Mytilus edulis: one gene and its partners. The main gene of each other region encodes a partner of the protein of the gene in region 2 in a complex. Links are inferred from orthologs where the notes say so. Each region holds a gene or a part of one and is shown on either strand. Other genes may lie near its edges.

Region 1 (7,758 bases), on a different chromosome or scaffold from region 2:
AATGTTTAATGTAAAGCATGGTAGAGGCAAGAAAACAATTTTGTTAAATTGACGAAATTACAAAAACGTCTATGGATAAACAAACTGCAAATTTAATGGTGGTCAATTATGAGGTTTAATTAACAGATTGATGACCCGTCCAATGTCAATAAGCGGATTATCTGTAATCACAACTTATTGTAAATGTTAAGTAGGGTCGTTATCTTGTCATAAATATGAAGGCAGGTACCTACAATAATGGTATTTGTCAAAAAATTAATACAATAAAGGCACAGACTTGCATCTTAAAGAGGGCACAGGGTGTCAGAAAGGGGCACAGGGCAGCGATCCCGAAAGGACGGGCAAGGCGCCCAGTAAACAACAAACAGAAACACTAATTTTTAAATATAAAAAAAGAAGATGTGGTATGATTGCCAATGAGGCAACTGTCAACAAGAGACCAAAATGACACAGATATAAACAACTATAGGTCACTGTACGGCCTTCAACAATGAGCAAAGCCCATACCGCATAGTCAGCTATAAAAGGCCCAAAATTCATGAAATTGACAATGTAAATTCAAATGAGAGAACTAACGACCTTATTTATATAAAAATATGTAACACATAAACAATCGACAACCACTGAATTACACGCTCCTGACTTGGGACAGGCAACTTCATAAATAATGTAGCAGGGTTAAACATGTAAGCTGTATCCCAAACCTCCCCTAACCTGAGGCAGTGGTATAACAGTACATGTACAACATAAGAACGAACTATAAAAATCAGTTGAAAAAGGCTCAACTCATCAGATGGATAAAAATACAAGTGGACGTGGCTGGGTACTTGTACATCCTAACAACAAAAAGACACTAGAAACAGATCTGAGAGTACTCACATTTATCTGACAGCTAGTTCGAAGCCACTTACAACTAATCAAAAAAATCATGCATCTAAAACTAAACAATCAATCCGTAGTTCCGTACACATCCAACATCCAATGGATTTAGTGTAAAGACATCATAAACAGTCAGAGAAAAAACATGACCTTGTGTAAACCCATGTTATTCTTTGTTTAATCCTTATATTTTTATGAGGATAATCAGTGTGATGTAAATTGTTTTTCCCTAATTCCTGTCGACACTATTATGCAGAATTGTCTTAAAATGAAAGTTCCTTGACAAGATACATTGAAGTTTAAACAGATATTATGGCATTCAGGGCCGTAACTAGGGTTCGAATTCAGGGGAGGCAGGGGTTTGGGCCACCGATTGAAGCCCCTTAGAGAGAGGGGGTTGGGGGAGCAGCCCCCGCCGATTTTTTTCTCGAGGTAAAATGGCTAAAAATGACCCATTTTCCTTCGATTTACTTACTTTAATGAAAAAAAAGTATTGCTTGAACCTGGAAGCAATTTTTATGCAAAAACAAACTGAGATTGCTGTTCAGGGTAAGCCAAGGCTCCGTCTTGAAGGCCGTAATTATTATGAAGACCTATAATTATTAACATTAAATACATTGTGACCGCGGATTTTGTTCTCAATATGGCTAAAAATCACCCGTTTTCCTTCGATTTCCTTACTTTAAGAAACATCAGTATTGCTGGATCCTTGAAGCAATTTTTTATACAAACAATTATTATCTGTATTTAAAGATATTTTTGTTAGAAATCAAACTGGTAAGTTAAAAAAAACCATATAAAGCAAGATCATAGAAAGCAAGATATTTTTTTGTCAAGGACCTTGAATTTTAATATTGTTGAAAGTTGAACAGACATGTATACAACTACAACCAGGGACTTTCTAAACTAGTATATACTTAGTTTAGAAAGTCTCTGCTTCAACAAATAGGAGTGTTTAACTACTAAGGCATTGACCATAATGTTCTCGTACAATCGGCCGGGAGACGTTAAAAAAATGACACAACAGCTGATTCAGCCGGTAACGAATTTCCAATATCATAAAAGATTCACAATACAAAGGGAACTTCCTCTGCTTAATGGAGCCCCCAAATAAATGTGAATAGTTCAGTTTTATTCAAAATTGTCGAAAGCAAAGTTTCATATGTGTTCTCGTACGAATACTGCATAACAGACGGACACACGAAAAATAAAATACTGAAATGGTTCACTTTCGGTAAAAAATCCGAAAAATGACAGATATATCATGTATCATGATAACTCTGTTAAAACTGTAAACTTGTGTTGTTTATGATATAAATTCAAGTTCTTCGTATACATATTGTCAATATTTCATTTTATTACTTCAAAAAAAAAATGTTGGTGTCGAAAATTCAGGGGAGGCAACTGCCTCCCCTGCCTCATAGGCAGTTACGGCCCTGGCATTGTTTACAATAAAGTTTCCATTGGAACTTCTGTCATGTGTCACAAAAATTATATACCTTAACACCTTTGATAAAAATATTCTTAAAAATATGCAACAAAAAAAGGAGTCTTCAATAATTTAACTTGCAAAACATAATATTACATGTTATTAAAATCGTGGGTGCCAAAATAACTACCTTGACTTTAGGGTAGAATTAAGTAGGTCTCGATTTGACTAGGTGCAGAAATGACTATACAAGATGCTGATTTAACTAGGTGCCAGAGTGAATGAATTCTTAAAATACAATGTATGAACATTTGTAAAGAATGCACAGCCACAGGACAACAAAAGTCAACATGATTCATGAAAGAATGTTTGTTGTTTTGCTCTGTGCCAGCTTGATTTGTTTGAGATTGTTTAAGGCAGTAGTTCTTGGTGCCGAAATTGAGTACCATATTGTAACTGGATAGCATAATGTTAAAGAATATAAAATGGTTTTCCATAGTTTAAAAATCTGTGCAGGGGTTCACACTTTACTTAAAATGATGTTAGCATTTGACCATACAAATGCATATAAAAGCTCATTTGGAAATTGCAGATGAGATTGTGCTCATATATTGAATAATATAACCCTTCAGAGTTTCATGGTTTCTATGTATCCTATATTTCCATCCAAGAACAAAAATATCAGAAACTTATCGAAACCGGAAATTTACACATCATTAAAATATCCGGATCGAGGACGGAGTATTCATCCGAATTCCGACTTTTGTCTGACCTATGTATTTCTTTGATTCCTTTAATCGTCTAGTTGCTAGCTTGGGATGCTATATGTCTGTTTACAGCTACAAAATAACAACCAACTGCCAAATCAAATCTTCATCATATATCATGTTAATACCTATTTTTTTTTTAAATATGCTGAGTTTTTTTACTTTAATTTTCGATTTGTTGACCTCATTTGAGTCGGACATCTATGACAAGCCGTTTTATTACTTTATTCTAACTTCATGATATCTTATATAATATATAAGATATCTCATATAATATATAAGATCTTTTATCAGATATCTTATATAAATTAATCTAGTTGTTATACTGAGAAACTTTAATATATACATTATACATTTTGACATTATATATATATATCATTTAGTTTATATAAGATAACTTATATACTTTACATGAGAGTTTTCTAATACCACATCTTCTTATTTATTTTATAATTATAAGATACATTTTAAAGTTTAAAAGATATTATATACGATATCTACAAAGTATAAGATATTTTACATGCATATATTGTTTATATATATTAAGATATCTTATACACCTTATATGTTATTTATCAGATATCTTATATATCGTCTATAAGATATTTTATAAAGAATATTATATGAGATATCTTATAAATTGTATAAGATATTTAATAAACTATATAAGATGTCGTATAAACCATATTTGATTTTCACATGATGCACACATGATGTTTCACTAAACTGATATAGTTTTGTGCTAGCATATCAGTAACTGTTAGTGTGTCCTTTGTTAATTTATTTTGTCATATTTAGATTTTACTTAATTTCTTCTGTTACCTATTCTGTTTAACATAGACAGACTCGGACGTCTTTAAACTGAGTTTTAGTGAGAGTATTGCCTTGTTTTCTTTTTTTTTATTCAATACTTGCTATAGAAGAATAGAGGGAGGGTCGAGATCTTACAAAACATGCTGCCACATGTGTGCGTCTGTAACTAGTCCAGAACCTCTAGCCTTTGTCAGTCTTGGGTTTTTTTTTCTCCATTTGTATACATGTCGCTTCCATTTCGCTAAACTAGTATACAAGTTCTTTTTTAATGGTCAACAATGGAAGTAATATTACTTCAATAGGTCAACTAAACCTTCATAGCTCCATGTGGGATATTCTCGTCACCTCTGTTGAAAAGTCATTGATACATGGCCTTGGATTGTTGTATGCTCTATGGTACAGTTGTTGTCTTTTTGTCATATTTTTATATTTCTATTTATTTGCATATGCATAAAGAATCTACGTTTATAAAGTAAAGATTTTGTAAATTAGGAATCCTTGATAAAGAAAAAATCAGAAAAAAATATTTATTTTCAAATCAAATCAAATAAGTTCTATAATTTCAAAGTCGGTATGTTAAGTAACAATACAATATAAGCTCTACGCGAGCGTGTTGACCGAAATAAAAATGTACATAGTAAACGAAAAACATAGATATTATTTATTTTCAAATCAAATCAAATAAGTTCTATAATTTCAAAGTCGGTATGTTAAGTAACAATACAATATAAGCTCTACGCGAGCGTTTTGACCGAAATACAAATGTACATAGTAAACGAAAGACATAGATATTATTTATTTTCAAATCAAATCAAATAAGTTATATAATTTCAAAGTCGGTATGTTAAGTAACAATACAATATAAGCTCTACGCGAGCGTTTTAATTGACCGAAATACAAATGTACATAGTAAACGAAAGACATAGATATTATAAACAATGCGAGCAAACTAAACTGACTATATAACTAAGAAATTTGATCTTCCTCTACATACACGGTAAATATTTAAATAGCACTGAATACGGTTACGTTAAATGTTTAAATGTTTAATATTGCATATATGAAAACCAGTGATCCGTAACAAAATACTACCGGGTTTGTGTGATCATCGAATTACCATAAAATAATGAATTCATAATAATGAAGACAGTTTGGATTGTTAGACTTCTAATCTTTGCTATTCTTATTCATGGTAAGTTTTTGGTTTCGAACCGAGTATTTAAAAGATTCGAACATGGCTGAAACCTTTTTGGTTATTGGCAAAACATAACTACGCCATCTCAATATGGAAATTAATTTACCACTGCCTATCCATCCGTCCGTCTGTTTAATCGTCCGTTCTTCCATCCGGATATAGATCAATATTCAATATTACTTCTATGGTTCGACTTTATGTATTTACTATTCTCAAAATTCTAGGTATTTGGAATTGGTAATTTTTGTACTTAAAATTCGAAAGGGGGATGTTTTAGATATTCACAAACAACGCTATATAATTGAACACATGGTTTGTACTACTAAAGTTAAATGTTATAATGCACTATACATAAGATTTTTAGTATTGTCAAAAATGTAATCAATACCGGGTAGTTGACAACTGGAAATTGACATTTGAACTTGGTAAATATAAAAACTGGAAAATTGTAACCCTAAGACTGATTTCAGAACTGACATCCAGCTGCAAGTGTAGGCATTCGGAATAAAAATAAAAGATAGGTCAGCATACATAGTGTTAAGTTTATAATTTTTTTATGATCAGACGGGGGCATTATTTGTGTCTTGCAGAAAGCCGTATTAATTTCAAGTCGTACATCAACATCACTGGTTGTCAAATCTAAAGTATGTGGAACAGTATACTCATGCATATGACATAGCAGAGGGGTCATTGTCCATATATAGTTTTATTTTTTTTTTAAATTTTCAATCTTAATAATATAAGTATATCGTCGATTTTATTGAAATGAACATATTATGGAAAATCAAAGGATATGGCGTATCCATCCATATCACAAAATCAGTTAATGCACAACGAAAAAACATGTCTTCAAAATAAATCGGGCGACAGTAATCATTTTAAAATATAACATAATTGATCTACACATATAAATGGTTCATGACTACACAATTAAAATGTATTTGAAGATAAGAATATAAAAATCATATAACGTGTATAAATGTATTGTTTGAATTGAATAGACTCGAACGAGGAAGTTTTCACATTTGATCGATCACCAATAAACGTCTCTGGGTAGTTATGTTGGGTTATTATGTGTGGATTTTAAATGCATTTAATTTGTTCTTTATTTATGTACATATTGGTATTCGATGACTAATTAAATCTATGAAAAGTGAAATATTTCATTCCAAGAAAATCTTCGAAATTTCAGACATTTGCCACTTTTAAGCTCACCTGGTCCAAAGGGCCAAGTGAGCTTTTCTCATCACTTTGCGTCCGGCGTCGGCGTCGTCGTCGTCGTCGTCGTCGTCCGACGTCGTCTGTTAACTTTAACAAAAACCTCTGAAACTACTGGGTCAAATTTAACCAAACTTGGCCCCAATTGTAATTGGGGTATATAATTGGGGTATCTAGTTTAGAAAATGTGTCCGTTTAACCGGCCAGCCAACCAAGATGGCCACCATGGCTAAAAACAGAACATAGGGGTAAAATGTAGATTTTGGCTTATAACTCTGAAACCAAAGCAGTTAGAGCAAGTCTGACATGGGGTGAAATTGTTTATCTAGTAAAGATCTATCTGCTCTGAAATTTTCAGATAAATCGGACAACCGGTTGTTGGGTTGCCAATTTGTAATTTTAAGGAAATTTTGCCGTTTTTCGTTATTATCTTGAATATTATTATTGATAGAGATAAAATATAAACTGTAAACAGCAATAATGTTCAGCAAAGTAAGATATACAAATAAGTCAACATGACCAAAATGGTCAGTTGACCCCTTAAGGAGTTGCCCTTTATAGTCAATTTTACCAATTCTCTTCTCCTCTGAAACTACTAAAACAAATATAACTAAACTTGTCCATAATTACAGAAGAGTATCTAGTTTGAAAAATGTGCCCGATGACCCTGCCTCTGAACCATGATGGCAGACATGGCTAAACATAGTACATAGGGTAAAATGCAGTTTTTGGTTTATATCTCTGAAACTGAAGCATTTAGAGCAAATCTGACTGGTGGCAAAAATGTTCATCAGATTTAAATATGTCTGCCCTGAAATTTTCAGACAACCAGTTGTTAGGTTGCTGCCCTTGAGTTAGTAATTTTATGGAAATTTTGCAGTATTTTTCTATTATCTAAGATATAATTATATAGTATCTAATAATATCTTATACTATAAATTATGATTTTAACCTTATTTTACATGATTTCCAAAGCATAAGAAAAAAACAGGTGAGCGACACAGGCTCTTTAGAGCCTCTAGTTGTGGTATTTAAGAATTCAGATGATTTCTACATAGTGATGGTACATTATTATGAGCTAAAATTGTCTCCTTCCTACTATTTTATCGTTTTATTTTACATTGTAAATGTATAAAACTTTGACTGTTGATACTGAAATACAGATAGTGTATAATTAAAATCAACTCTTCAAAAACATCACATCGGCTAAAATAATGATTTCTGGATTTCAATCTGTATGTCAATTTGAAATTATGAAAACCAAAATTCCGTAGTGCTATATAGATTATCGAATCATGTTTGAAATGAAATATAATATTGATTATATACTTGCAGTTATTCAAATGAAAATATTTTACTATCATATCCTTACTTTGAATTCATTGTAAGTACGCGTACATCTATAAGCGAGTTAGCCCGCTTGGTTCTAGTATACACCATGCTATTATGTATAATTC
Region 2 (7,165 bases):
TACAGCGTACCTGTGTATTATTTTAATATTGCTCAAACTCTAAATGTCATATATATTTGTGTTCAACACTTTAATACTATATAGTGAACATGTTCATGTCAATATTTTATTGGAAAAATAAAAGAATATTGCACTATAATAAGACGTTAATGTTTCAATGAATATCTGTTGTACATTCTGTTAGATCGACTGTAAATAACCAATCTGTCAGTTTGATTTAACTCTCTGTCCTCTGCAAGTCAGTAATACAAATAGACCTACAATAACAAACATAAGTAATGATTAACCAGATTCTTCTTACAGTTGTTTATTTAACACATTATTGAAAAAGGCAAAATGGGCTAATCCCAGTTGTTAATAGTGCTTTGAAGAAACATACTACACAATGCATATTGTTTTGGTGAATTGTTACACTCAGGAATTGAATGGCTATCACCACCAACATGAATCCGTATTTTGTTATTAATAAAATTGAGAATGAAAATGGGGAACGTTTCAAAGAGAAAACAACCCAATCAAAGAGCAGACAACAGCTGAAGGCCACTAATGGGGTTTTCAATGCAGCGAGAAATATTTGAACATTTTATTTCTCATTTCCATCATTTTTCCCATCTGACAATAAAAACATCGAAATTATTTCTGAATTTACAGTTCTATTCATATGATATAAAATTTGATGGATTCTGAGGGGAAACAATAACAAAGTACTAATTGTCTCGTATGAACAGCACACATTCCTTTCTTTACTTAAAGCATGTAAAGTTAAACCTTTTAAGGTTTCAAAAAAATGCATGTCTTGATGATGGTTATATAATTCATTTATAGAGAATAATTAGCTTTGTTTTAGGCTGAATATAAATTAAAAAGTTATGAAATAATCTAGAACTGTGCCAATAACTTCAAAATCAAACAGAACAATAACATCTTGTTTAAAATATGGCAAAAAAAAAAAAAAAAAATGTTTTTACCAATATGACATTAGATTTCAAACAAATAAAAATATATTTACCTATAACAGCTAATCCAGTGACACCCATCAGCAATGGAATACCTAATGCATATTTGTGGTCTGGAAAGACTTGGTGGAAGATTTGATCTTTGTCAACAAAGGGCTGAAAATAACAATGATTGCATAAACAATATGTGTTTTATCATAGCTATAAATAGCCATTTCAATTTAATATTCAGGTAAAAAAAATATATAATAAATGTGTTTACTTTTGTGCTCCACCTACTAAATTAATGTTCAATTTTCTTGGAGGTCTTTTTATAGTTACTGGTATTTGTTATGTTGTATAAGCATATATGCCACTTTCACCATGTTTTGAATCAATTGATTTCTAAGTCCAGTAACCTAAAAATGTGTGTTTGGACTTCTTGTTTTGCTTTAAATGAAAGTACATTAGACTCACTTATAAGTCCACATAATGAGATACATAGTTTGACAGAGAAACTCCTCAAAGTACTGACTTTAATCCTTTTTATTTAGCAAAAATGTTAATTCACTTACAACTTTTCTTACTTTTACAATTTTTTAAACTATTAGCAAAACATTGGTGTGAATATCATAGAATTGTCATTTTCATCAATATGTTAGAAGCGTTAAATTTTGAGAAATTTTCCATAATGAAAATTCAGAAATTGTTGTGTGCATTTCTTGTTGTGTTTTTTTTTTAAAAGAATGAACAAAAATGCTAGATTAATAACACTGTATTGCCAGTCAAATTAATCACAAAAAAAAAACTCAATATTATAAGAGTTTACAGTATATCTTACCAGAACAATAACCCAAACTGTGTAATAGATGTAAGCTATAGAGGTCACTGTGATCAGTGTCCAACCAGCCAATAATTCAAATGTTCTTGTCATCTTTCATCTTGGTATACAATCTGAAAAAAAAAAGTAATGATTGAGTTAGAGTCATTATAAAGTGTACCTGGTATGTCTTCTTGTTTTTTAATTGGCACATGTAAAGAGTTGAGAGTTCTGTAATGCTTCACATTGATGCACTAATGACTCATTCTCCGTCTAGTGGACTTATAACATTCTTTTAAAGAATCCAGTCCTTAGCAAGGAAGAAGAAGAAGGAGTGTTCCAAGTTAAATTTACCAGTTTATCTGTTTATAGTCATTGTAATGGCATGAGAGGAAAACATGTAATGTTGCATTCCTTGGATGTTTCTTGAATTTTAAATGTATTGGTTATGGTTAATTTCATACAAAAGGGATATAGTTTGTTTTATTGCCATACATGTACACATTTTTTAGTCTTTTTAATTTGTCAGCTGGTGTAAACAAAATAAACCAACACAAAATATACTCTGATCTTTATAATATTTGGTTCCACCTTTTCAATATATTGGGTACCTTTAGGGTTTAATTTTGCATGTTTATTTTAAAGTCATTGCCATAACTTTCAAATGTCTGTAAAGTTCAACATAAAATTGAAGAGACTTGTACCTGAAGCCAGGTGAATTGGATCAAGTGTTGAACACAAAAATTTATTTGTCAACTTTTATTCATAAAAGGAGGTCACAGGTGTGTTGCATATGTCAATAACCAAGCCTGACAAAAAACGTCTTTGAATAGAATTACAATCTTGGTGATACAGGACAATTTCCAATAGCAATGATACTAGAGTGGCAAACTTGCTATGAAGACCTACATGATTGAATATAATATATACATGTATGATATATTTATGGCCTCATATTTTGCCATACCATTTACATTTGTCAGTTCCAACCACAACTGGCTCATACATGCTGAGCTAATATTATATATATACATAAAGAGTAAAATGTACACTCGTACTAGATGTTGACCTTAGTAGGGCCTTTGTTTACAAATAGATGTATGATGGATAAAGCATGCGTTGTAGGATAAACGTTTTATATATCCATCCTACTATACCTTGACTGGTCAATTTTGATACGTATTTAATACGTTTCTAAGATTACCTTCAAAACAAAGTTTCAACATTATTTACATTTTTTCCAGGAAGTTAAATTCATAGTATAAAATATAAAGTCAAAGTAGGTAAATTTCCGGAAAATATCCCTTTTTATATTGGTATTTGTTTCACGTCCACTGAGGCTGGGACTATAGTCCCAGACTGAGGTTACAATCTTTCTGTTATTTTTACAAACGAACGTGTAAATTTTACATGCTTGGGCAGGTCATCAACTGCTAAGTGTTTTTTCCAGAAAATTATAACTAGCTACTAGGATTTATCAACATATTGCGTAGATACAAGTCATGCAGTCAGTTAAAAAAATCTCTAAAACTGATTTTATCTTGATGCTTGATTTCTTGATTGACAAAACATATTAATTAATTACGTTTGGAGGACGTGTTTTTCGATCGGGATCTGTATCTGAAATTCTTAGAAAGATAGTAGGCTAAATGATCTCTAACTAAAAGTAAAGTAATTCAAAAATTAATAACTACTGGAAACTTAAAGAAGAAGAAGAAGAACTATGTTGAACGCATCAATATCATATCGAACTTGAGAAAAAAGGGTTCAACAGATACGATAGAGGTAAGGATTTTCTGTTTTGAATTTACCGGAGTTCGGTATTTTTGCTTTTTTTACTTTTTTTATACAACAGCTCGTGTATATTTTGAAAATGTGTGAAGATTCAAAACAAATATTAAAATATTTAGGTTTTAAAGCATTCCAATGTCCAATCGATCTAAAGATGAAGGATACAGTTAAGTCTGCATCTTATGTCGACTAACATCCAGAAATTGATATTGATTATCGGTTGAAACCCAAACTTAACGACAAACGAGATATCAGCTTTCCAATTGTGAACTTTCCATTTCTGTGTGACTTTCCAGCTTACGAAGTATATAACTCCCACTATAAGAGGCAAATTGAGGGGGAAACGGAAATATTTTGTTAATTATGTAGTGTAATCACTGGATCGGGTAATCTCGTATGAGGTCAGTGGCCTCCATTTTGAAAATTTCTGAATCTGCCACGATAGACGATTGCTGCTCACAAGGAAGCTATTTATATATTGAAGAGTTCCAAGTGGTGAAGTTGAATTCGTCTCAGTTTGTAAATTTTACGGACGCAATCACAAGTGGGTTGACCATTATGGAATATTTGTTTCTCAGATGACAACAATGTGTTCCTATGTTGTGATTACACTCCTGTCCCCTTTTCCTCGAATTCGAACGTCTGAGTTATACCTGTTATCGGGTGCCGCAGTGAAGCATGTGTACCTTTCCGGATCACCTGAGATCACCCCCTTTTTTGGTGGGGTTCGTGTTGCTCATGCAGTCTTTGCTTCTCTATATTGGGTTTTGTATACTGTGTACTGTTGTTTGTCTGTTTGTCATTTTCTGTTCTGCGTTATCATTTTATTTTTGGCTTGTGAATGTGCCTTTGGTATCCCTAGCCTTTCTTGTATGTTATATGATCTTATAGGCGTAACACGATGGATGTCACATGTGGAACGGAATCTGATTACCCTGCCGGTGCATCCTAGTTCATCATATATGCATTTTGTGGTCCATGTCTTAATTTACCGAAGTTACACAAAGCTACAAAAAAAGCCCACAAAACACAAAAAGAACAAAGAAATTGCCATTAAAATTAAAATACATATACTACTGAGCAGTTTTAAAATGAATGGATGAGTCTGTTTAATCATCGCTAAGGATCTCTTGATAATCAAATTAACTTGATTGTATGAAAAATAATCTCTCAAGTGTGGACCCACATTAATGTTGTGCGCATATAAAGGGAAAATTGGATTCATGCATATCATCGCTGAATTCTGGAACATTATAATGTGTTGCCATATCAAAATCGAGATGAATTGAAATAGGGCTTGAGCATGGAATATACTAGCATACAGATTGTGTCAAATGTTTAAGATACCCACATTTTGTACGTTTAGGGTTACTTTGGCTGGATTTTGCATGGTAGGGCTGGTGTTGCCTAGTCTTTTCTTTAGTTTTCAATTTTATGTTGATGCTTGTCTTTTGGTAGTAAAATGGTGTCACATTTGGCGAAAGCACTGCCTAATATTCAAATATCATTGATATGGTAATATTCATAGATTAATTGTTGATCAAACTAGAATAGTTAAAAATACTAAGAATCTTCTACGCTAGAAATACTCAGATGGTTGACACGTATTTTGCAAAACCTTTCGGAATTTTTGGTCCTCAGTCTTCGTTCTTTATTTGGCTTTTTAGAACTTTTTTGTATTCGAGTGTCTGGTGAAGTTGTAGACGAACGAACGTATTATAATGATATAGTCATAATTACATTAGATGTATGTTTCATTATAATACGTTATTCTGATTGGCTAACTAGCAATCTCGTGATATTCCTTAATCAATTGCATTACACAATGCAACTTTTCAATCATGATGACACGAGGTCCCACAATAAAGTGCACAGGTAAATGAAATAAAAACTTGATAAAAGGCGTGTTTTCATGATCCTATAGGTAAAAATGTAATTATAAGTATTGAATGCTTTTTTTGTAACTTTATAGGGTTGTAAAAGCGTTGACCGTGCGCACATTTTTAGTATGAAGCGCGGAAGCGCTTCATACAAAATGTACTTCGGTCAACGCTTTTACACCGCAATTAATTTACAAAAAAGAGCATTCAATTCTTAAATTGTACCTTTGATGTGTTGTTTTACCCTTTTATTTTGGGAGGGGGGGGGCGGGGCTGAGTTAACTCCCGGTTTTTGTATGGGTTCGTGTAGTTCAATCTTTATAGTTCTCTTCATTGTAAAATTGTTCATTCTTTTCATTGTTTTTTTCTGTGTTTTTTGTACCACGACGTTGTCAGTTTTTTTACGACTTGTGAGTTTTGAATGCACCTTCTCTTTCTTATCAATTAATAATCAAATAACTTAAGTCCGTTCATCTGTCCGTTCTTCCGTCTGTCCCGCTTCAGGTTAAAGTTTTTGGTCGAGGTAGTTTTTGATGAAGTTGAATTCCAATCAACTTCAAACTTAGTATACATGTTCCCTATAATATGATCTTTCTAATGTTAATGCCAAATTAGAGATTTTATCTCAATTTCACGGTCCATTGAACACAGAAAATGATGGCGCAAGTTTCAGGTTAAAGTTTTTGGTTAAAGTTTTTAATGAAGTTAAAGTCCAATCAACTTGAAACTTAGTATACATGTTTCCATGATATGATCTTTCTAATTTTAATGCCAGAGTAGAGTTTTTACTCCAATTTCACGGTCCACTAAACATAGAAAATGATAGTGGAACATCCATGTACTATGGACATATTCTTGTTTGTACTAAACTTGGACAGAGGCTTGTTCGTATCTAGAAGGAAATTTTGTTAAAATTTTGTACCTGTGTATCTGTATTTTACTAACAAATGGACTTAGTTTTTCTTCCAGTTAACATTACATACATTCTGGAATTAAATTTTTTAAACATTTATTTGATTCATAAACTATCCTGGATTTTTACCAAACTTGGACAGAAGCTTCTTACATTCAAACGATAGTATCAAGAGGAATATTTTTATTGATTTTTTCCCTCGTTTTTGTTGAACCTGCGATTTACAGATAACGTAGGCGAGACACTGGGTTCCGCGGAACCCTTATTATTTTTTTTTATACAGGATCAACAGGATCACCAAGTACAATTTATACATTAGGTCGTAATATACATCTCTGTTGTTTTTGCTCTTCTCTGTATAAGTTTTTAACTGTTTCTGCGTTGTAAAACTATTGACAAGAAGCCAAAGAAGAACAGAAAGTGCATGTTTACATGGAACAATTGATCATTAAAAGGATGCGATTCGAAGAAGAAGACAAATCAACCATGTGTATTTTGGTATCTTTAGTGACCTATACCTTGACCTAGGACAATTAAAATTTGATAACTGTAGTGACTTAAACTTTGTAATGAAACAATTGAATTTTAAAAGGATGCGATTCCAAATTTTAATTACCTGAAAGTCTCTCGGAACAATTCTGCTTAAAAGCGCCTGTCAACCATATAGTTTGAGGACAGTTACGACCGTATGTTTGACATGGACCACTTGAACTAAATTTCGATGTGATTCAAAATTTGAGGAATTTCCTGGAAGTCATCAGAACAATCATGATTTGGTAAAGCATCTAGTAACCATATATGTTAGGTGTTGCTGTGACCTTAACAC
Region 3 (7,266 bases), on a different chromosome or scaffold from region 2:
TTTTGCCACCTCTAAGTAAAACTTACAATTTTGTCTTTGCCATATATTTTCTCTAGTTGTTTTGCCACCTCTAAGTAAAACTTACAATTTTGTCTTTGCCATATATTTTCTCTAGTTGTTTTGCCACCTCTAAGTAAAACTTACAATTTTGTCTTTGCCATATATTTTCTCTAGTTGTTTTGCCACCTCTAAGTAAAACTTACAATTTTGTCTTTTCCATATATTTTCTCTAGTTGTTTTGCCACCTCTAAGGATAACTTACAATTTTGTCTTTGCCATATATTTTCTCTAGTTGTTTTGCCACCTCTAAGGATAACTTACAATTTTGTCTTTGCCAACTCTAAGGATAACTTACAATTTTGTCTTTGCCATATATTTTCTCTAGTTGTTTGGCCATCTCTAAGGATAACTTACAATTATGTCTTTTCCATATATTTTCTCTAGTTGTTTTGCCAACTCTAAGTAAAACTTACAATTTTGTCTTTGCCATATATTTTCTCTAGTTGTTTTGCCACCTCTAAGTAAAACTTACAATTTTGTCTTTGCCATATATTTTCTCTAGTTGTTTTGCCACCTCTAAGTAAAACTTACAATTTTGTCTTTGCCATATATTTTCTCTAGTTGTTTTGCCACCTCTAAGTAAAACTTACAATTTTGTCTTTGCCATATATTTTCTCTAGTTGTTTTGCCACCTCTAAGTAAAACTTACAATTTTGTCTTTGCCATATATTTTCTCTAGTTGTTTTGCCACCTCTAATGATAACTTACAATTTTGTCTTTGCCATATATTTTCTCTAGTTGTTTTGCCACCTCTAAGGATAACTTACAATTTTGTCTTTGCCATATATTTTCTCTAGTTGTTTTGCCACCTCTAAGGATAACTTACAATTTTGTCTTTGCCATATATTTTCTCTAGTTGTTTTGCCACCTCTAAGGATAACTTACAATTTTGTCTTTGCCATATATTTTCTCTAGTTGTTTTGCCACCTCTAAGGATAACTTACAATTTTGTCTTTGCCAACTCTAACGATAACTTACAATTTTGTCTTTGCCATATATTTTCTCTAGTTGTTTGGCCATCTCTAAGGATAACTTACAATTATGTCTTTCCCATTTATTTTCTCTAGTTGTTTTGACACCTCTAAGTCAAACTTACAATTCTGTCTTTGCCATATATTTTCTCTAGTTGTTTTGCCACCTCTAAGTAAAACTTACAATTTTGTCTTTGCCATATATTTCTCTAGTTGTTTTGCCACCTCTAAGTAAAACTTACAATTTTGTCTTTGCCATATATTTTCTCTAGTTGTTTTGCCACTTCTAATGTTCCATCAGGACTGCCATCATCAATTACAATGATTTCAAAATCATATTTACTGCAATCAAAAAAAAATTTGATGTGCTACATTTGTACTTTGAGAAGTTGGATAGTAGCATATATAAACATTATAGATATAAAAGATAGAGAAGTGTGGCAGTGCAGTTAAGAATGGGTTAACCACATATCATTCTGCATGATCTGTGCATGTACTAAATTTGGCTTCTGGTATCTCTAATTTAATGTTGTTTGTCTTTTACATTGTATGTCAGTTAACTTTTGTGAGAGTTGGTATTTGCTGTTTGTACTGTAAATTAGTTTTGGTGCTTCAAGTTATACTTGTATTAGTCAAAAGCATTATTACCATTTGAACAGGTATATGTACAAATTATTCAACTGATGATATTTATTTTCAAAAGATTTGTCATGTTTGTAAAGCAGCTACATTTGTTTCTTCTTATCTATAGTCCAGAAATTCAATCTTTTTATATAAATACAGATATAAGAAGATTTGGTATGAGAGCCAATGAGACATCTCTCCATTCAAGTCACAATTTGTAAAGTAAACCCTTATAGATGTTTGTAGAAAACAATTATATATCATGTATATTGGATATACTTGTATGTGGTTCAGAAACTGACAAGTGCAGTACATTTTACTACATCTTTAAGTACCAGTTTTTAATATTGTTGAAGGCTAAAGTGAATATTCAAATTATTGATTGTTGGTTGCTACATGTATATGATGTAGTTAACATCCAGTGGCAAATATTTCATTATTCAAATGAGAATTTAGTGTGCTTTCAAGGTATATATAGAACTATTCTAAATCCTATATGCTCTTTCCAATTTCACTTTTAACATTGATCTGCCCCAATGACTTGAAGATTGTGTTTTCTGATGCAATAATGTCATGGTTGTAGAGAGGGGGGATAGGACCTTTATCGGGACTCCGGGATCGGGTGTTTTTAAGCTTGGGATTTCAGGATTGACCCTTTCTGGATCCGGGAATTCTATTTTTCGAATTTCGGGACCTCGGGATTTCGTGTTTTTTAGCTCGGGATTTCTGGATATCGTGTTTTTAAGCCCGGGATTTCGGGATCAGGACCCCTCCTAACCCCCCTCTGTAGACAATAGACAATATTTTATTGACGCAAACACATTTACAATAAATGGTAATGACCGAATGGATAAACAATTTACAATACATGGTAATAAAATACAAACAATTGTGTATAAGTGAATAAAAAATTTAAAGGTTTAATGAAAATCTATTGCAATCAATCACTTCTTGCAAGTAAATGTAGATCATAAAAAACTTATGAGAAAGTATTTTTTTAAATCTTTCAATAAATTTTAATAAATCCCTTTTTAGGCAACAATTTTCTAGTCTTTTTTTTTTGCCTACTAAAAAGTTTCTTCATAATGCATAAATGCTTGACATCTACAAGGAAACATACAGGTATAGTAAAAAATATTCATAAAAATGTATTTTTTTACTACAAAAATTTATGTAAAATGGATTTATTCATTTCTTGACATCATTATTTGTTACCTCTCTGTAAAATATTTCACAATAAGCCACACTATTAGAGGTAGATTGTCCTTTTCGTTGTAAGTTGGAAGGAGAACAGAATATTTGTTTTTCTTCTCAGCCATGTTGGCACTTTTAAGGGACAGGCTATTTCTCAAGAACGATATAATTACTGTTAGGTGGATATATCGAACCAAAATATAAAAAAAGTTAAACTTTTGTTTAAAATCTGATAAAATTGAATGGTACAAGAAAATTAACAAGAATTCAAATGTTAGATCATTTAAAAAATATTTGTTTTATTGATAAAATGACTTGTCCCCAAATTTAACCTTCAAACCGGAAGTAGAATAAAACTCTAATCAACCCGGAAACAGACCAAATGGATATGAACACAGACTGAATTTCACATTTATGAATTCTTTGAATAATGTCTTTTTTAGAAAATGACACTGCTTCAAAAGAAAGGTTTATGATTTTTTTATATGTATATATCATGTAGTTTCATAAGAATTTATACACTGTCATTCACTTACAAATGACTTAGTTTTTCTTTGTTGGGTTATGTGATATCTTATGTCTTATGACTTGTGTTATTTCTATGAAGATTTTTGTGGCTTATAGCTGAGGGAGGTGATGGGGGTATTTTCATGACGAAAAAACTGAAATAATAATTAATTCTTGCCAAATGACATTAACGGTAATTTTTGGGGCATGACAATAAAAATGTACAAAAGAATCGACTGATTTAGACGAAACACTTTCAATTTTTTTCTAAAAATGTCAACATGGTCAATAATGATAACTATTTGAGACCTCTGACGAATCATGATAAGCATAATTTGACGAATCATGGCAAAATTTTAACCAATTTGACGCTAATGGTAACCAAAAATGGCCATTTGACGCCTGATGGTAAAGGGCATTAGCCGGAATCATATATCTAAGTGACAAGTCCCATCAGTATATATGTTCCTGCTAATAGTAATACTGGTAACAGTGCACTGAAACATACATTATCAAGGTTTTTCACTGAATGAAGAGTTTGAATTTTCTGCATTTTTACCTCACCTGGCCCGGAGGGCCAAGTGAGCTTTTCTCATCACTTGGCGTCCGTTGTCGTCATCCATCTTCGTTGTCCGTTGTCTTCTTTAACTTTTTACATTTTGAACTTCTTCTAGAGAACCACTGATTGGAATGAAACCAAACATGGCATGAATGTTTCTTATGAGGTGCTGACCAAGTGTTAATTGTTACTTTGTAGCCGATCCATCATCCAAGATGGCCGCCAGCAGGGGACTAAGTTTAACATAGGACCCTACGGGAAATGCATACAAATGACTTCTTCTAGAGAACCACTGAATGGAATGAAACCAAACATAGCATGAATGTTCCTTATGAGGTGCTGACCAAGTGTTGTTACTTTGTAGCCAATCTATCATCCAGGATGGCTGCCAGCAGGGGACTTAGTTTAACATAGGTTCCTATTGGAAATACATACAAATGTCTTCTTTTAGTGAACGACTGAATTGAATAAAATCAAACATAGCATAAAGTATAAAAATGAGAATAATGCAGACTTTGTCAAAACCAAGAAATCAAACATCCACCCAAAATGCAATTTCCCTCAATCAACAAAAATGTGTATCCACAAAAGCACAAATATCTTACAACAACTCCAACCAATGAACAACTATGTTACAACAACTCCAACCAATGAACAACTATGTTACAACAACTCCAACCAATGAACAACTATGTTACAACAACTCCAACCAATGAACAACTATGTTACAACAACTCCAACCAATGAACAACTATGATGGAGAGAAAGATTGGCATACTTTACTATGATGGAGATTGGCATACTTTACTATGTTTGTGCTTCTGATCTCCTTATTAAACTTTATTTTAAAACTAAACATGCTAAATGTCATCATGTGTTATTAATTATTTAACTATTTTTTTATGACTTGTATATTAGAAGGTTATCCATTCTTTTCCAGGTTTAATCTGTTATTACTAGATCCAGGAGAAATCTATTTTGAAGACTACAGTGTTTTCTATTATCCTTGTGGTCTTCCAGAACCAGAAGCTGTCAAAAGGTACACAATGTTTTTATGTTTCCAATTATATTATTCAAATGATTTTACAAAAATATTTGTCTGACCTTTCTCATTTAAATGAATGAGACTTCTATGATAGATAATGAAGACATCATGAAAACATGTAAGTTGCACATTGGTACTTTTTTTTTTTGCTTGGACAAAAACATTATTTCTCTGATAAAGTATTATTTTGAAAGGATTTTTAAAGATTCTTTATGATAAAAATCAAACAAAATAATAATTTTGGCTGAAAATTCTGTATTCATCTGCATATTTTTTTAAAATCTTTTATTCAGTAAAATTGCTTGTTTATGTCAATTTTAATCAAAATATTAGATAGATTTTGCAATTTGTTTTTTATTGTGATAACACAGCACACTATTTGTTCTTTTTTCTTACAGGAAACAGAGAGGACATTTGAAAATATGTTCCAAGTCAGTTGTGTTTGTTCCAAAGGAAAGTCAGAACCCTATTCTGAAGGTATTATTTAAGTTACAGACTAATAAAATTGTGAATGGAAATGGGGAATGTGTCAAAGAGACAACAACCCGACCAAATAAAAAACAACAGCAGAAGGTCACCAACAGTTCTATTTTATATTATAATTGTACAAACAATTGTCTGATCTATATTATGGAACTGTTGGAGCTATCTATTTACATTTAATACTGAAAGGTACTTTAACATAACAACTTGTGAAGTCAACAGGCAATATAGAGCTATACAGATAAAAAGATGTGATATAATTGTCAATTAGACAGTTCTACACCAGAGACCAAATGACATAAAGACTAACTGTATATGTGAGTATGAACATTTGTTTATTACTGGACATTTGTTTATTACTGGACATTTGATGTCCTTTTTGGTTTATTGCATTTTGCTATTAGACTTGCATTGACACATTCCCTACTTCTTTATTTATTCACGTTTAAATAACACAAATACAAAAAGAGTTTACCTTTAATGGGTAGAAGGAACCTTAAAAGAAGACAGAGAAATGAATTCTGTGATGCAGACATGCATTTTCACTGAACCTTTAAATCAAAATTACTGATATTAACATTTGCATTTGACAAGTATTACTTGACATGTTTCAATTTGTAAGGACCTTTTCATTATAGTTTTCTAATCCGTTTCTATTACAGTTTCCATTAAGATATGTGACAGAAGTAGATGAGTGGTCTGGTGGGTTGTTTTCTAAGTAAGTAACCTTATTTATCTATTGTAACTAAAAAATTAGATAAAATATAACTTGTAACTTTTAATCCTGTTGTTTTTTAGAGTGCAGATGGAGAACAACATTAAGACAAACTCTGCCTTTTTATGTAAATATAGATTCTTACACTGCAACAAGTGTATTACGATATTTCTCCACTCGAGACAGTTAAATTTTATTATTTAAAGTGCGAGGCTTGCCGAGCCCTTTAAATAATAAAATTTAACTGTCCAGAGTGGAGAAATATCGTAATACACGAGTTATAGTGTCGGAATCTGTTTCTCTAATGCTTTTTATCGTTCTTTTTCAAAGATTTTCAGAAAATTGTGCTCTTTATATGCGACGTCATCAGGCAAGGTCCCCTTTTTTCATGACGTCACAATAGGAAAATTGAGAAGAAAACAAAACATTTTGACGTCATAATCAAATTTCGACTAATCATTTGCCGAGAACAGATTTTTCACTAGTGAGGAGAAATATTTTTCTCACACCAGTCAGGAAATGTGAAAATAGCACAAAAATTATAGAAACTAAATTACAATCATGTCTCACTTTTATCTACCATGCCACTTGCTTAACAGAAATGGGTATTTCTTTTCACTTCTTGAATTCTTCTTTTACTTTGTATTAACTGCAATTATATTAAGTCCCTACAGAACAAACATTTATTTCTAGTTGATCCTGCAAAATGACAAACGCCAAGACACTTGATGAACTTTGATAGTGCAGGGATATAAGTGATCCCCTCTTTCTGGTTAATGACGTCATAAAGGTGTGCATAATTGACAAATTTTTTCGATAAAGGACATAACTCGAAAGTAATCTATTATATTAGGATATATGATTTACTGTAACAATTCATCCACACTAATCTTCCACTGATTATCTGCCATTGAAACATTCCATACCTATTGTAAATTTGTTCATACTAGTGTTTGTAGAAAAACTAAATTGTTGTCTATAATTAGATTGATGGAATATTAACTTAATTGTTGTCTATAGCTAGATTGATGGAATATTAACTTAATTGTTGTCTATAGTTAGATTGATGGAATATTAACTTAATTGTTGTCTATAGTTAGATTGATGG
Region 4 (7,526 bases), on a different chromosome or scaffold from region 2:
TAGACAATATCCTTATGGGTAAAGGTTAGACAATATCCTTATGGGTAAAGGTTAGACAATATCCTTATGGGTAAAGGTTAGACAATATCCTAATGGGTAAATGTATGACAAAACACTAATGAATAAATAGAGGACTAGTTTATGAGTAACTTATGGATATTTTTAACAGGACAATAATTAATCATTTATATCCCTGCAAAAAGAAGCAAAAACTTCAGTGAAAACATTAGTAAACTCTGAATAGGATAATGTGTCTTCATGGAAGTTATGTGACATAAATTCATTAGTTTATAACTGGAAATTTTTCCATTTATCATTATCTCTATTTTCTCTACTTGTTCATTGCAAATATATGAATTATGATTGAGAAGTCACAACCATGAAGGATCTACACAAAACATTAAATGCTATATTATTGTATGGTCAACTTTGTCTGGGAGAGTTGTAACATCTAAGTACAATAACAAGGCTCATAACTTAAAATTACATAATCATATTTGTATACTTATATCCATATGTACTCAAAATTATCATAACATATATATGTTAACAGACATGTACATAATAATTTAGGGTGATAGCTGACCTAACCATTTTAAACAGCTTTTATAACACACACAATTTAAAAGAAAAAGTCAATGAATAAATATCAAAAAGAAAATGTGGTATGATTGTGCGCGCCAATGAGACAACTCTCCACAAGAGACCAAAATGACTCAGAAATTAACAACTAAGCCTATACCGCATAGTCAGCTATAAAAGGCCCCGAAATGACAATGTAAAACAATTCAAACGAGAAAACAAACGGACTAATTTAGTTTCTATCTTATAATAAACACCCTTGCAAAAGTTTGTAAATTTAGCTTACCTTAACTTGAAAAGGGTGAGTTAATCCCTGTATTTGTTTAAATGATATAACAATTGGTATATTATCACTGTCTGCATGTTTATCTACCGTGGGGTCATGTTGTTTCCACAGAAGGTTATGTCGCTGTGGTAAACTTCTATGTAAAGTCAAGTATTTCATATTCAAGTGAATTCAATGGAATTAATATCCGTCTCCAGAATCAGTAATCCGATGCATATGTACATGTAAGTCCTTTAATATGGTGCCTATATCTGAGACTTATAATATTGGTCCCACCCAGTCTATAGCTAAATGTTAACAAATTTGGAAACATCTACTTAAAACACTCATATCTCGTAACAGTTGAAAATATGTAAATTCCTATGCAATGTTAAATCAAAATCCTCTATAATGTATTTTCCTGCACAAACAGACACATTATCAGCCAGTTAGAATATCATTCATGTCTACTGAATTTCCATACATCTTTTACCTTTCTAATATCATATTTATCAAGCTTATAAGATATATACTGTAAAATCTGTCAAGTTACAGAAATCAATAATTCAGAAAGTCACTTTCACTTGAAGTACAATTTTCAATAACTAAACATCCGATATAACCACAAACTTGTATCATATTAGGTATCCAATAAAATCTCTTAGTTATTAAAAATTTTAAACTTCTTGTCCTTTCACCTCATAAATTTTATGATAACATGTACCTTCAGACTATTACAACATGAACGTTTACTTTCCTAGTGAATGGCCATATATTACAGCTCTGGATAATATCCAAAACCAAAGATGTCGGGTTTATTATATTTCATTTTTTACTTCAAGTGAATGTATTCCATCAATATAGTCTGAATAATTCAGTGCATGTATCCTTATATTTTTTTTTATCTAGTATTTGAAGTTTTCAAATTACAGCATTATTTTTTTTTTCTTTCAATAATTGATTTTCTTTGGTTTTTTTTCAAATCAGATGTTTCTACACAAAATCATCACAATAGTACAATTAGTTTTGTAATGATAGTATAGTCACTTTGGAATTAAATTTCAAAAGGTAAATATAGCTTTTTTACAAGCTTTTATATCTATTCATTCACCGGCAAAATCTTTTAACCAATTGATATTGATGGTGAAAAGTAAAAAAAAATATTCGCAGGTAAACTTTCTTATTAAATATCATTTAAAACATATTAATTATTTATAGTTGATCAATTAACCATAACTATTTAGATCAAAATATTTTTAAATTCAAATTGACATTTAAAAAAAAATTTAATGCTGATTCAATATTGTAAATATGTACTTCAATGAAAAACATTAACAACTTCAAATGCAATTATCTATAAATTCACAAAAAATGACACAAATTATTCCTCTTGATATATGTATATATGCTCCTCAAATTATTAAAGTTAGTCTCTTCAAAAAAAATAATTTGATGATGTTAAAATGATGAAAATTTATCACAATAAGCTCAATCCCACATGTAAACTATATATGTACTGCTAAATCACAATAAAGAATTCAATAACAGGTGATAGATCTATAAATAGTATAAACTTTCACGTAATGACAAAGTCGAAGACAAATCATCTCATTGTTACAGCACATCAACATGCATTGATCATCTAACTATCGATTTTCATTTCATAGACACAGAGGTGTTTATGATTGAGGTTCATTAAAAAAACATGACGATAAATTTTCCATCTACATTTGTAACGGTGTCTTCCCGATTGTCCCTATTTTTGAAATTACAGGTAAAAAGGTTATGAAATTTTGTGGGACAATCGGGAATATGTTTGTGGGACAATTGGGAAGTTTAGATGTGGGACAATTGGGAACTGTTTTTATAATGATTTATTTGTTTTTATAGCGTGTTGCAGTTAATCAAAGGTTACTTATCGATGTAGCTTATAAAATATGAACAAAATAAGAACAAATAATAATATTTATATATTTTATTTTGCTCATAGTAGGTACAATTGAAGTATCATATAATATAATATGAAGTCTTTTAAAAAATTTAAAAAAATTTAGTCTAAGATGCATATATATTTTTTTTAATTATTTTTTATTGGCTTTGAACTAGCAGTCAGTACTGCGAGTGCTCTTAGATCTGTACTTAGTGTCTTTGTTGTGGTGATGTCCCAAGCCAGGAGCCTGTAAGTCAGTGGTTGTCGTTTGTTGCCGTGTAACATATTTGTTTTTCGTTCATTCTTTTGCCATTAGTTTTCTCGTTTTACATTAGTCATTTTGGGGCCTTTTGAAGCTATGTGATATGGGATTTGCTCGTTGTTGAAGGCCGTATGGTGACCTATAGTTGTTAATTTCTGTGTCATTTGGTCTCTTTGGGAGAGTTGTCTCATTGACAATCATACCGCATCTTCTTATTTCTTATGGAAGTCTGGCTCTTCTTTATAATTGGTGAAGAGTCTTTTTGACTGCAAAAACAATGGGAAAATTGGAAAAACAACCTTTAATAGTGATTCTTGGAAAGGCTGATCTGGAAAAATTCTAGACAGCAGCAAATTTAGAGAAAATAGATGGGGGTACAAGAAATGATTTTACCAGAAGCATGTGCATCCCATATAAAAAAAATTCTTTCAAATTTCTCAAATGTGTATTTTTTCAATCAATTATAACAAAGAAGTTGAAATAATAAGATTTGTGTTCTAAAAATAGCAAAAATAAGTGCACCACCATATGATTTTCGTAACCAATTAGTTTTCTAGAGTCATATATAAACCCAAAAAATCAGGTTCAGAAAAAAAGTTTAATTCAAGACCTTAAAAGATCTATTTCATAAATCAGAAATATTATATTTTTTTTAATCAAAAGTGTATCAATCTAATGATTTAAAAATCATATTTTTTATACTTTTATAAAATTAATATTAAATGTGCAATAATTAATTCTTGTTTATTTAGCAAAACAAACAACAGTTACCTTGTTTATCTATGAACATTTTACTACATAAAATAATGTGGGACAATCAGAACTCTAAAATTTTAAAAAGTGGGACAATAGGGAATAAACCTTTGTAACATCACATGTAAAGTACAAATAAATCAGGTATAACACACAGTAATATTATTTTCCAGTTCTTAACACATGTAAATGTAGGATTGAAAAAATTGTATACTTTATAATTACATGCAAGTTAAAGATTATTCAAACCTACATGTAGGATTTTTTAATTACAATAAATTGATGATATTTATTAACCTTTACTTTAAATGTCATGACTTTTAAGTTCTATTTAAAGATTTTTAAACGATCCAAGTCTCCCGATAATACCATGGTAAACAGTCAATATTTATCTGCTGATCATTTAGTCAGGATAATTTAGAGTCCCTCCTGTTTTTAACCGTAATCAATCTGTAAGCTATTTTTAAAACTCATCATAAAATTAGAATGAAATTTTGAAAGAGACCTTTAAATAACCACAAAAATTATTTATTAATGACAAGAATGCATGATAAGACTATTTTGGTCCCATGAGTTTGTAAATCAAAACGTATAATTAATCAATCTATGGAATAACACATTGCTTCAGTTGTTTACAAGGTTTATAGTGTGTTGATTAACAGTGTATATATATAGAATTTTATACATGTCAGTACATTTATCTATATTTGTGTGAGAAAAAGTTAGGGTAGGTACATGTAGATAAGAATTTATCTCTTTTTATTTTATGGTGGTTTTTTTTACATTGAGTCTTTGGGGGGAAAAAGATCTGTTTTTAACAGAGCTTAATGCATTCTGTAATGGAAAATGACAAAAATATCATTACAGTACATAAGACAGCTAATCATCTCAAGACAATACAACATTTCTTTATCATGTTTATACATAATTTAAAAGCAGTGTAAGGGAGGTAATTGTCAATGTTGTTTGAATAGTCCATTTGTCAATTACCGATTTTGTTCTGTAATTACACACTTTTTAAACAAATTACTTTCCTTTGTCAATAGTAGACTGGTTCTATACCGCAAAATTGGCTTTTGCCAATGCAAACCATGATGAATTGAAAGTGATGCAAACCATGATGAATTGAAAGTGATGTATAGGTGGTTTAACTAATATTTCATGGAAAATAATTTCTGATGTCAAAAGTATTTAGCCTAACAACAAAATTAATGATAAATCTAATTAACAGATTTTAAAAACTCACATTATGCACCGGTTAATTTGCTCTCTCTGTTAGCTCTCCATTGTAAATAAAATATACTGTCCCTCATAAGGGAGAAAGCTTAAAAAGGGATCTCTAATTACAGGGTCAATTACAGGAAGTGGTAAATAGACTATTACCTTCTGTTAATTGCTTTAAAATTATGTTTTGAACTTAAATAATTGTCCATTAACCAGGACACCCTTGTTCCCCCCTTTTTTTCCTTAATTCCTAAATGGTTTGAGCCATAACCCTGCAAAGCCAATTCTTACCATACCTTTATGGTATGGAAACTTGTGGTATAATTTCAGAGCGATCCATACACCATTCCACAAGTTATTGTCTGGAAAGTAGAAAAATGCCCTTTTTGACCCCTAATTACTAAACTGTTAGGACCATAACCCCCAAATCGTTACCAACCTTTCTTTTGTGGTCATAAACATTGTGTTTAAATTTCATCTTTCTATTTACTAATACATGTACTATAAACATGATCAATAAAAGTAAAATCTCAAAAAAACTGAACCCTGAGGAAAATTCAAAAAGGAAAGTCTGTAATCAAATTGGCAAAATCAAATGAGAAAACACATCAAATGATCCGTATTCCATTGAAAGAAATTGGGCATAGTTAGTGTTGTTTCAGCAAGCACGTGCGTTATCGCATTATTGATTGTGTCTAAATATTCTTATATAAACTGGATTTAACTTATTTTATAAAATTTGGTAAGTATGCAATTTTTGTTTAAGTTTTTAATGATCTATTGTATGTCGTCGTGTATATGTATTACACAAGTTAAGTCATTCATTTTGGCGTGCACAATTCACAATTTGTCTACACTAGACAATTTATTTTACATAATTGTGAAATCAATTGTACTATAGATACTAATATTATGAACAAGTTATATCTTACCAAATAGTGCTTCCCTAAACTATTAGGTAAACTAACATGAGGGATACTAAGTTACAAGCTGTAAACTTAGTAAATTGTTACAGCAAATATGCAATAAAGATATTATTACCTTTAAAAAAAAAAGAAAACAAATCAAAGGAATAGACAACAACTGTCATATTCCTGACGTGGTACAGGCATTTTTAAATGTAGAAAATGGTGGATTAAAAGTTATTGACCTGAAACCAAATGTATTCAGACGATGACAACGACGATGTGATACCAATATATAACGCAAATTCTTTTGGCTGTCTTACAAAACTTTACATGTTTAACTTAATAAACATGACTTGTAAAAGTACATGTTTTACCCTTGACTGTAACAAAACAAAGCACTTTCTGTTGCAGAAAGGGGCAACATTTAAGTACAATTACACATGTAGGTATAACATGTATAATGAGTATATTATCAAACATGCATTTACATGTAAATGTATATCTTTTCAATACTTGTACAGAGTTCTCTATGAGTGGTGGTCCTAGGGATTTTACCACCACATTTTTTTGGGAAGGACTAACACAATTTTGGCAATATGCATTTAGAAATGATAGTGAGGAAGGACCACCAGGCAAAAAAAGATTTCAAGAAATATGCTTGGATAAATGAGGGTCAAATAAAAAAACGTCATGGTACATTGTACATGTATGTTAATTGCAAGAGTTTTGAATGTTTTACAGTAAAAGTCAATATACGTGTAAAATTGTTCCATTTGGCTAAGTTCTTACTCAATTGAGCAGAGGGATTCATTGTTACTCATTTATAGGAATCTGCCATTTTTTTTACACATATAACTACATTAATACAGTACTACCTGTGACTTTATCTTATTAATGGTGGCCATAAAAAATATGTTCACCATGGTGGCCCTATATGTTCATCATCTTACCCCCTGTTGATTTTTTAATACACAAGGTATTACTCAAAAACTAGTCAAGGATAAAGGGAAATCTTGAATGCATTGAAGTGTTAAAATTATATAACTTACAGGTCAGGTGTCTCAGGTAAAATATACATGTATGTGTTTGTCAAATTTAATAACTGTGATTATGACAAGAAATTCAAAAATAAAATGAAACAATAAAACTAGTTGAACAAACAGCTTAATTAAAAAATAATTGTCTCCTGACTATTAGTTTTGATATTATACCTTTTAAATAATTTTTGATCAATTTAAGTTATTTTTTATATTAAGTTTATTTTTTGGTAGTGAAGAATAAATGAATCTCATTTTCAAATATACTGCAAACATTTACAATGCCTGTCTTTTTCTATTGACTAGATGTTTCTCAAATTAATTTTCTAAAATCAAAATGGTTTATTATTGTAGATAGACTGATCTTAACATATGATTAAGATTGTCTTTAGGACTTATGCTAAATAAAATTTAGGCAATTCATTATTTCTTTATTGAATAAAATATTTATAAGTATTAGAAATATTCAGTACAGCAAAATTTGATAATATTTTTATTGTCATATGATATTTTAAACATGATCCATGTTTTAGAGGTTAAGCATTTCTTTTACTTTTTGTTCTTG

Evidence for each region.
Region 1: uncharacterized protein (region 2) and phosphatidylinositol N-acetylglucosaminyltransferase subunit A-like share a complex: the UniProt entries of both Homo sapiens proteins name them as parts of the glycosylphosphatidylinositol-N-acetylglucosaminyltransferase (GPI-GnT) complex. The link is inferred for Mytilus edulis from reciprocal best matches to the Homo sapiens genes DPM2 and PIGA.
Region 3: uncharacterized protein (region 2) and dolichol-phosphate mannosyltransferase subunit 1-like share a complex: the UniProt entries of both Homo sapiens proteins name them as parts of the dolichol-phosphate mannose (DPM) synthase complex. The link is inferred for Mytilus edulis from reciprocal best matches to the Homo sapiens genes DPM2 and DPM1.
Region 4: uncharacterized protein (region 2) and phosphatidylinositol N-acetylglucosaminyltransferase subunit P-like share a complex: the UniProt entries of both Homo sapiens proteins name them as parts of the glycosylphosphatidylinositol-N-acetylglucosaminyltransferase (GPI-GnT) complex. The link is inferred for Mytilus edulis from reciprocal best matches to the Homo sapiens genes DPM2 and PIGP.

The regions. Positions count from the first base shown.
Region 1 is NC_092356.1:49,226,903-49,234,660, forward strand, and holds the start of phosphatidylinositol N-acetylglucosaminyltransferase subunit A-like, read right to left. Parts: upstream 3,027-7,758; 5' UTR 2,868-3,026; intron 1-2,867. UniProt on the Homo sapiens protein: Catalytic subunit of the glycosylphosphatidylinositol-N-acetylglucosaminyltransferase (GPI-GnT) complex that catalyzes the transfer of N-acetylglucosamine from UDP-N-acetylglucosamine to phosphatidylinositol and participates in the first step of GPI biosynthesis.
Region 2 is NC_092345.1:2,383,252-2,390,416, forward strand, and holds uncharacterized protein, read right to left. Parts: upstream 3,024-7,165; 5' UTR 2,913-3,023; intron 2,799-2,912; exon of another isoform or gene 2,723-2,798; intron 1,890-2,722; 5' UTR 1,870-1,889; coding exon 1,777-1,869; intron 1,113-1,776; coding exon 1,010-1,112; intron 258-1,009; coding exon 208-257; 3' UTR 93-207; downstream 1-92. UniProt on the Homo sapiens protein: Regulates the biosynthesis of dolichol phosphate-mannose. Regulatory subunit of the dolichol-phosphate mannose (DPM) synthase complex; essential for the ER localization and stable expression of DPM1.
Region 3 is NC_092348.1:4,569,201-4,576,466, forward strand, and holds the start of dolichol-phosphate mannosyltransferase subunit 1-like, read right to left. Parts: upstream 3,027-7,266; 5' UTR 2,975-3,026; coding exon 2,871-2,974; intron 1,374-2,870; coding exon 1,274-1,373; intron 1-1,273. Other genes in the region: protein FAN-like, read left to right, coding at 3,280-3,317, 4,856-4,954, 5,359-5,437, 6,106-6,161. UniProt on the Homo sapiens protein: Transfers mannose from GDP-mannose to dolichol monophosphate to form dolichol phosphate mannose (Dol-P-Man) which is the mannosyl donor in pathways leading to N-glycosylation, glycosyl phosphatidylinositol membrane anchoring, and O-mannosylation of proteins; catalytic subunit of the dolichol-phosphate mannose (DPM) synthase complex.
Region 4 is NC_092356.1:67,724,135-67,731,660, reverse strand, and holds the start of phosphatidylinositol N-acetylglucosaminyltransferase subunit P-like, read left to right. Parts: upstream 1-4,500; 5' UTR 4,501-4,519; intron 4,520-7,526. Other genes in the region: nephrocystin-4-like, read right to left, coding at 869-1,027. UniProt on the Homo sapiens protein: Part of the glycosylphosphatidylinositol-N-acetylglucosaminyltransferase (GPI-GnT) complex that catalyzes the transfer of N-acetylglucosamine from UDP-N-acetylglucosamine to phosphatidylinositol and participates in the first step of GPI biosynthesis.